Linked DNA regions of Cricetulus griseus. The protein of the gene in region 2 purifies or fractionates together with the protein of the main gene of each other region. This does not show direct contact. Links are inferred from orthologs where the notes say so. Each region holds a gene or a part of one and is shown on either strand. Other genes may lie near its edges.

Region 1 (4,306 bases), on a different chromosome or scaffold from region 2:
TTCATCGGCACAGATATCAGTAAACCGAGTATACCAACAAAGAGAAACTGAGGGTTGGAAGGGAAGTGACTTATTCAAAGCAGCATAACCAGCAAGGGGCTGAATGAGGGTTTTTACAGTCATCTGTGCTATCATATTGACTGCCAAGCACAGGTCTTTCTACATAAAAAGATGCAGAAGTCTTAACTGGGGCAGGATCCCTGGGTCCAAATTCCATGGGGATAAAGCTGCTTGAAACATGCACAAGGATTAGGTTTGGAGCAAATAGTGTATCCTTACCTAAAGAAACAAAAGTTCAAGGACAAACTGGGTTCAGTTTAGGCTGTAAACATGGGGCTTGCAAATTACCAAGAGAAGGTTGCTCAGAAAGCAACATACTAAAATGAAAATGATACTTTATCATAGGAACTATTTTCTCCCATTGTGGTTACCTAATGGAGACCCATCTCCACCCACCCACCCCTCCCACCCCCACCCCCCGGAATATTTCTGATACATACTCTTGAAGGGCCAGTTCAGTGCCAGAAGCTCAGTAAGAGCTCCTGAATACTCACTTTGATTAGTTCAGACCATCCAGAAGGCAAAACAGGTTCTGGAATCAGGAAACTTGGATTTAAATGCTGACTTATCATGAACTCTTTATGTGACCCCAGACCATTTGTTTTAGCTCTCTGAGCTTCAGGGGTCCCACGGATAACAAGGAGACAAAAGTGGCCCCTCAGGGAATCATTTCTCACAGTGACTTAAAGTTCCTGTTCTAAAACGAGTTTCCATCTCATCTGGTGGCCATATGTTAATAGCCAACACCTGTATCATCCAATACACAGGCCATTAACTAGAACTTGAAACGCAGTTTGTCCAACTGAGAAGGAATTTAAGTGTAAAAACTCATACCAGATGTCAAAGATTAAGACTGAAAAGCATAAAATACCTCATCAACAAGTTTTCTTATAGATTTTTCTAGAATTATATATGGAAATCTCAAACTAAATAAAGTATGTTATTAAGTCACTTGCTCCCAATGGTACTGCTGCCCGGTGGTAAAGCACTTGCTGAGCACATGTGAGGCCCCCTGTTCAACCTCCAGCACCATAGAGAAAGGAATTTTACTTGCTTCTTTTTATTTACTTTTTTTAATTGTGACTACCAGAAAGTTTTTGTTCTTGTTTTAGTTTTTAGAGATAGGGTTTCTCTGTATTGCCCGGGCTAACCTAGAACTGGTTCTGTAGATCAGGCTGGCCTGGAACTCTGAGGTCCACCTACCTCTACCTCCCCAGTGCTGACATCAAAGGTGAGCACCACCATTCCTGGCTTACAAGGAAGTTTTTAATTAAATACACACCACAGGTCGTATTTCTATTGGACAGTGCTATTGGGCTGTCAACAAGGTTCGGACAATGACAAGCGAGGGTACCTGGAACAGTCCAGTCAAGGGTGGGAATATCAGTGAGGGTTTCCTAACAGTGGAAGATGTTAGGCAAAAGATAACTGGAAGATAAGGCAAAAGGTGTACAAAGGACAACTGAGGCAGCAAGAACAGCAAGTGCACAGGCCCAGCAGCAAGAAACACAGCAAGATCATTCCTGACACTGAGCTTGAGCTTGGCAATCAGGCATAGGGCAAAGACAGGGTTGGGAACCAGAGAGAGACAGTGGGGGTGAAGCAAGAGAAGCAGATGCAGCAGTCTATGGAGAAACATGGAAGCCACATTACAGAACTTCATCCTGCAGACAGCAAGTTGCCTGGAGGGCCTAGAGTAGGTTAAGATTCGAATTACCAGAAATGAATGCAGTATCTGTCCTATCAAGGCTGGGAGAGGAAGGAAAGGAGAGTATTAGCAGATCCATTAAGTTAGACACTGTGCTAGTTTAGTTCCCTTGCCAACAACCTATTCCAAATGTCCAAAATAATCTAATTTCTGGTCCCAAGGGCTTTGGATAGAAGACACAACTTGTAGCAGTGGTCATGATGGTAACACTGATCCCCCTTCTCAACACTGTTGTGTCAGCTGCTGCACTTGCCAAGAGAACTGCTGGGCAGCCATTGTTTCTTTTCATTCTCATCCAATTATGGTGAGTGCATACGTGCGTATTACCATTAGCCCATTTCACAGAGCAGAAGTCAATTTACCAAGGTCACCCACATTGTCACTTTTTTGGGTGGACCTAAACCCAGTTCTGTCCATCTTCAGCCAAGGATCTTAACTCCTGCACTGATGCCTCTGTCCTGGGAGGCTACTGTGCCCGCCCCCAAAGTTTAAAATAACAACTACACGCCCCATAATGAATGCAAACCCCCAAACAAAAATTATTCACCAAGTGCCCTAGGGTCCCGGTCCCAACCCAGCCCCTATTAATAGAAATCCCAATTAGTCCCACCTCCTCCCCGTCTTTCACAAAGTCCCTTACCTATCCTACACATTCTCTCAAAGTATGTTCCAGAATACCACAGACGAATGTGGAGCTGGCTGGACACCCCCAGGTCCTAACACACGCAGGCAGCAGCAGGGACCATCCTCAAACAAACGGAAGGCCTCACGGGAGAGAACCACCATCAATAGGAACCCCAACCCAGTTACCATGAACCCCAAAATCAGGGCCACACCTGCAGCCGCTGAGGGTCACAGGCAGGGTGATGTCCTCTTCCATTCCCGAGTCCATTACTGAACACCGAGATGGTGGCACCGGTGTCTGCGGAGGCGCCACTGGTTCCCCGAGCTGTGGCGACCTGCTCGGTTCCCCAGGTCCCGCCCCTTCCAACCCAGCTCTTGTTCTCAGTCTAGCGGCGCCACTGGAATTCAAACCGCAGCCGCCGCCATCTTTTCCTTGCTTCTTCCTACGGAAACAGGGCGGGGTCATCTGGCACACGGGGTGAAGCCGCCCTGAACCGGCCTGAAACCGGGCAGGGAAAGCATGAGTGGACGCCATCTTAACTCAGGGCAGAATCTTCGCTCTTGAACCTGTAATACTAAGAAAAGAGACGCTGGCCGCCATTTTTTATGTGTGCGGGTACTCGTGATGAAGCCAAGGCAGGGGCCATATTTGTTGAGGGTGAAAATCCGCCCTGGTCAGTTAATTTAAGCGGGAGGTGGGACAACTCATAGTGTCTAATTCTGTTTGCTGTTCTATAATCATGACTACACACTCGCGCCTTGGTTCTTTTACTCAAAAGACTTCTGCCTTATGTTGAAACTCAGATAATTGAGTTCTACCTCTATTTAGAAAAATACCACCTGTGGAGCGCTAGTATAAGCAGTAATTTACAGACTGAGTTTGATGCCTCATACCTATAAAGGGGTCAGGCATACTTCATGTCAAAGCTTTCAATGAAATTTGTTACCGTTAGAACTCATGCACCAACAATCAGTAAACTGAGACCCGGGGAGAAGAAATATTCAAGTTTACTATCCACCAAAACCAGATCCTTAGCTTCTGGCATGGAGATCTGGGTCCTCTGGAGCCATGTTTTAACCTTCCTGGAGAGAACGAAGATATTATGAGAAAAGCCACTGTGTTGCCTCTCAAATTATGATCTTTACAAAACTGGAATTTCAGCTATTCCTCCTTGGAACCCCTCCCACTCTCAGAGTTTTTTCTTCACTTTTCTTTAATAAATCTACACAGGAGTGAGAGAGAGGAACTTAAAGTGGAGTGGGGGAGAGGGAGTGAGTGGGGAGGAAGAAAAAGTAAGGGAGAGAGGGAAGAGGAGAGGGAAAGAGAGAGGGATAGGGAGGATGTATGGATGTGGAACAGTGGTCCCTAGCAGTTAAGTATCTCCTACTGCCAGTTTGTTTGTTTTTGTTTTGGCTGGGCCCTCAATAGTTACAAGGCTGTTTGTACTGCACAACACTAGCTCCAGACCTGCTATATTCTGTGGTTCTGGGGGAAGGAGTGGGTGTCCATGACTGACAAGCTCAAGTGCTGAGATAATGGGGCTAGTACCTAACCTACAAGGTTTTTGTAAGGATGACCTGAGATATCTTTAGGAATTCTGTCAGTAGTAATTCTGTCAGTAGTAATATGTTCACATGTTCATATTCATTCCCATTCCTCCATAACCTCAAATACTCTTTCTTTGCAAACTGGCAAGAGTCAGAGCTGTGATTTGAGCCCAGATGCCTCTGAACTCCAATGTCCTAAAAGGTTCAGACAGGCCATATTCCCCAAGTGTTCAGTTCTTTTTCCATCTTAGAACTTACAGTTGAGACATGAGATCTGTGATTGCTGGAAGAGGAGGTGTCATTATCTTCCATGGTAAGTTGCACATACTCCAATGAATAACCCCCATCCATGCTCATATAAGCAAC
Region 2 (4,270 bases):
CAATTTCTCAGAATATTAGGGTTCAACCTACCTCAAGACCCAGCAATACCACTCTTGGGCATATACCCAAAGGATGCACACTCACCAAACAAGGACATTGCTCAACTATGTTCATAGCAACATTATTGGTAATAGCCAAAACCTGGAAACAACCTACATGCCCCTCAACTGAAGAATGGATAAAGAAAATGTGGTACATTTACACAATGGAGTACTATTCAGTGTTAAGAAACAATGGCATCCTAAAAACCATCCTGAGTGAGGTAACCCAAAACCAGAAAGACAAATATACCAGACATAAAGCAAAAGATACCCAGCCTATAATCCACAACCCCAGAGGAGCTTGCATCCTCTTCCAGAAACAGATGGAAGCAGATGCAGAAATCCACAACTAACCAATGGGCCAAGCTCCTGGAGTACAATCAAAGTGAGAGAGGAGTGATAATATGAACAAAGGAGTCAAGACCATGATGGGGAAACCAGGTGACCCGAGCCAGTGAGAGATCACTTATTCAGGTCTGACAAATGGGGTATCTACGTAAGACTGAACTAGACTCCCTTAATATAGTTGACAATGGTGTGACTGGGACAATATATGAGGCCACTGGCAATGGGTCCAAGACCTAACACTAATGCATAAACAGACTGACTTAGTGGAGCCCATTCTATATGGAGAGCCACCTTGCCCAGCGTAGAAACGGGGTGGGGTTGAAGAGGTGCTTTGGTCCTGACTCAACTAGATGATGGGACAGACTTAGTAGACTTCCTAGGGGAGGCCCTACCCTTTCCGAGGAGCAGACGGGATGGGGAGGGAGTGGGAGGAGAGGAGGGAGGGGTGCTTGATAATAATAATTTATTTTTTTGGTGTTTTGGAGACAGGGTTTCTCTGTGGCTTTGAAGGTTGTCCTGGAACTAGCTCTTGTAGACCAGGCTGGTCTCGAACAAATTAATAAAAATTGAATAAATAAATGTTGCCTTTGTCTCAGCAACTAGCAAGAAATGCACCAAGCATGCCGTGGCAGAACATCTGCACAGCAAGCTGACCATCACAGCCAGGTGACTGAAAAGCGGGAAAAAACCTAGTGAAAGAAAATGTTGTAACAAATAAGTAGCCATATTTCCTGTATCCAAAAGAGAACCAGTACAGCTGTGTGACTTTAACAAAAGACACCATGCACATTTCTCTTACTGTTGGCTTCTAGGAGAAGAAAAGCCACCACCAAGGTGGAGGCTGAAGTTTCAGAACAAATTGCACGACGCCAACTCCGGGAGGGCTTGGGCAGAATGATGCGCAGGATCTGCTCTGAGAGCTGTCGGCCTCACGCCCTAGGTTCCCGCTGCCTCCACCCAGAGGCCACTTAGCAAGTGGCGCTGAACCCGCCTGCCGGGTTGCCATGGTTTCCGGGGATCACGTGGGCGCGCGGGCGGGGGCGGGGCGCCGGGCGTGGGGCGGTGCAGTGGTGGCGGGAGAGGGAGCGGGAGGAGCTGGAGATGCTGCCAACCCTCCCGGGCTGTGCTCGCTCTGCCGCCGCCGCCGCCGCACGGAGCAGCCGCGCCAGGGGCCCAGGGCGCCGCGTTCGCAGCCGGTAGCGCCGGGGGCGCTCGCTCGGGGCCGCGCAGCCTGAGACCGGACAGCGGACAGGGTGCGAGGGCGGCGCCCAGGCGCCGGGGCGTGCACAGGCAGGATGAGCATCGAGATCCCCGCGGGGCTCACGGAGCTGCTGCAGGGCTTCACGGTGGAGGTGCTGAGGCACCAGCCGGCCGACCTGCTGGAGTTCGCGCTGCAGCACTTCACGCGGCTGCAGCAGGAGAACGAGCGCAAGGGCGCCGCTTGCTTCGGCCATGAGGGCAGGACCTGGGGGAACGCGGGCGCCGCCGTCGGGGGCGGCGCCCCCAGTAAGGGTGTCAACTTCGCTGAGGAGCCCATGCGCTCCGACTCCGAAAACGGCGAGGAGGAGGAGGCCGCGGAAGCAGGGGCGTTCAATGGTGAGGACCGGCCCCCTCGCGCCCTGACCACCGCGCCCGCCCGCCCGTCTCGCTCGCCAACCCCGCCTTGCTCTCGAACCCTGCGCTGAGCTCCCCACCTTCCCCGAACTCTCTATCTTCCCATCCCGCCCACACCCACCCACCCCGGCACCCATTTCGGTCTCCCACTCGCCCACCTTCCTACTCCGCTCTCTTGCCAAGCCCTCCCTTTCTCTGGAGGTGGAGAAATGAAAGGTTGCGCTCCGCAGCCCCTCTGTCACCTTTCTTCCTTGGCCGATTTGGGGTGGGCATCTTGCTGGAAGGTTAACTTTCCCGTGGCTGGAGATGTCTCAGTCTTGGAGAGTGCCATTGTGCATGAAGGGCGCTTGGTGTCCTCTTTTCAGCCCTTAAATTTATTAATGGAGTGTTCGCAGAGAAAAAGGCAAGCGTGTAGGACTCAGTAAGAGGAGTGTGACATCGACTCACTAAGGTAAAGCAAATGAATGGTAATAGCTGTGACATCCTTGGAATACGAATAATTTATTATTTTCCAATATCATGTGGTGGAGATATTTTTGGACGCATAACAAAGGATCACATTTAGCCAGATATGTAAGGGGTCTCTGAAGTGAGGAAATAGGCCAATGATTTTCTTTTCTTAAAAAATTTCAAAACATATATTGAATGGTTTGATTTTTTTTAAGTGTGTGGGAAAAAAATAACACCATAGGAAGCTCTAAGAGCATGTCGGCTGTCTTTAGAATGAAAAGCCAGTGAGTAACTGTAAGGACCTTGCCAGACACTGAGGCTAGAAAGAATGAATGAGAGAGAAAAGGAATTTTCTTAAATAGCTGCCAAAAGGCAAGTGCCGTCCCTCGTGCTTCCCAACCTCTCCCTGACACACCAGATACACACATACACACACACACACACACACACACACACACACACACACACACACACACACACACGTTCACAGTCCCTTGTATTTACACAGTGTTTTTCAGGAACCCAGGCTAAAATGCCATGGTGTGCAAATGTACTAGTGTTTTCTATGTGGTGTAAGGCAAGCACGCATGCAACTTTTATTTATTTATAGTGCTGGTGATTTGTGTGTCCACAATGCATTTCATACAATGAAAACACTTCATTTCCTGTGTCCCTTCCTAGAAAGATTTTTTATTTCTTTGTAGAATTAATTACATATTGGCTGGGTTACAAGAGTAATGCACTTTTAGCTGGTCTAAAACGTGAAACTGTGGACATTAGTGCTCTTTAAATGTGAAAGGGAAGATTACTATTTAAAAATCTTAATATGGGACATTTGGTGCTTTTGAGGATAGGGTAGTCATAAATTCAATTGTTCCCACACCAAATCAAATGCTTGTCCTGCAGTGTCATCTATGACGTGTGTGCACACGCCCTTGTGCACACACTGTGTGTGAAGGGAGATACACATGGAGGCAAGCAGTACACAAAGGAGATAGGGACTGGATGGCAGGCAACAGGAGATGGGGGACTTGGTAAAGAACCTTTATGCTCTTCAGACTATGATGTTAATACAGCTAACCCCTTTTTGTTTAATTCTCTTGAAGTACTTTGCATTGACTTGATTTCTCCTTGCAAGGGTGTGTATCCTGCACATTGGAACAAAGAAGTGCATTTGTAAGCAGTAGGGGTATTTACTTTTATGAAGCTTTATATTCTTCAAGTCATCTTTCCTATAAAATTACTCAAGGTCAGTTGTAATGAATACTTAACTAGTTTATTCCCACCTCTACCTCCAGGGATTTCAGAAGTTTTGGCTCTACCCTAGCACAATTTGATCATTATCCAGCAGATGTATGTTTGGTGTTAGTATAATCTCTGTTGGGGCAGTTCATTTTTATTCTTCTAAGTCACACTCTTGTTCCCATAGAAGTAAACTGTGTAAGAAGCGGTTAAAAACAATTGTAGGCTATAGAATGCTTGGCAGACTTTTTTGTGAATGGCCCTTTCAGACTGTGGGCATCTTATCATCTGGATCATTTTTTTTCCAAATAGATCTTTAACCAAGTGTACTCTCTGGAGCTTGAATTCATACAAGGCCATAGTTTACTCCTGGACAAAGGGGGAAATATATATATAGTCATGTGCATGTATGCACATACACGCACGCACGCCCTCTCTCTCTCTCTCTCTCTCTCTCTCTCTCTCTCTCTCTCTCTCTCTCTCACACACATACACACACACACACACACACACACACACACACACACACACACACACTTCAAGATATACTCATTTGTGGAAAAGACACACATGG

What was found. The genes of interacting proteins can lie anywhere in the genome.
Region 1: the proteins of Prkar2b (region 2) and Cdk5rap2 purify together in Homo sapiens (affinity purification with mass spectrometry; 3 studies listed by BioGRID and IntAct, counting the BioPlex papers as one, with this or other methods). This does not show direct contact. The link is inferred for Cricetulus griseus from reciprocal best matches to the Homo sapiens genes PRKAR2B and CDK5RAP2.

The regions. Positions count from the first base shown.
Region 1 is NC_048595.1:75,832,593-75,836,898, reverse strand, and holds the start of Cdk5rap2 (CDK5 regulatory subunit-associated protein 2), read right to left. Parts: upstream 2,838-4,306; 5' UTR 2,661-2,837; coding exon 2,605-2,660; intron 1-2,604. UniProt on the Homo sapiens protein: Potential regulator of CDK5 activity via its interaction with CDK5R1. Negative regulator of centriole disengagement (licensing) which maintains centriole engagement and cohesion. Involved in regulation of mitotic spindle orientation.
Region 2 is NC_048598.1:169,644,289-169,648,558, reverse strand, and holds the start of Prkar2b (cAMP-dependent protein kinase type II-beta regulatory subunit), read left to right. Parts: upstream 1-1,455; 5' UTR 1,456-1,685; coding exon 1,686-1,986; intron 1,987-4,270. UniProt on the Homo sapiens protein: Regulatory subunit of the cAMP-dependent protein kinases involved in cAMP signaling in cells. Type II regulatory chains mediate membrane association by binding to anchoring proteins, including the MAP2 kinase.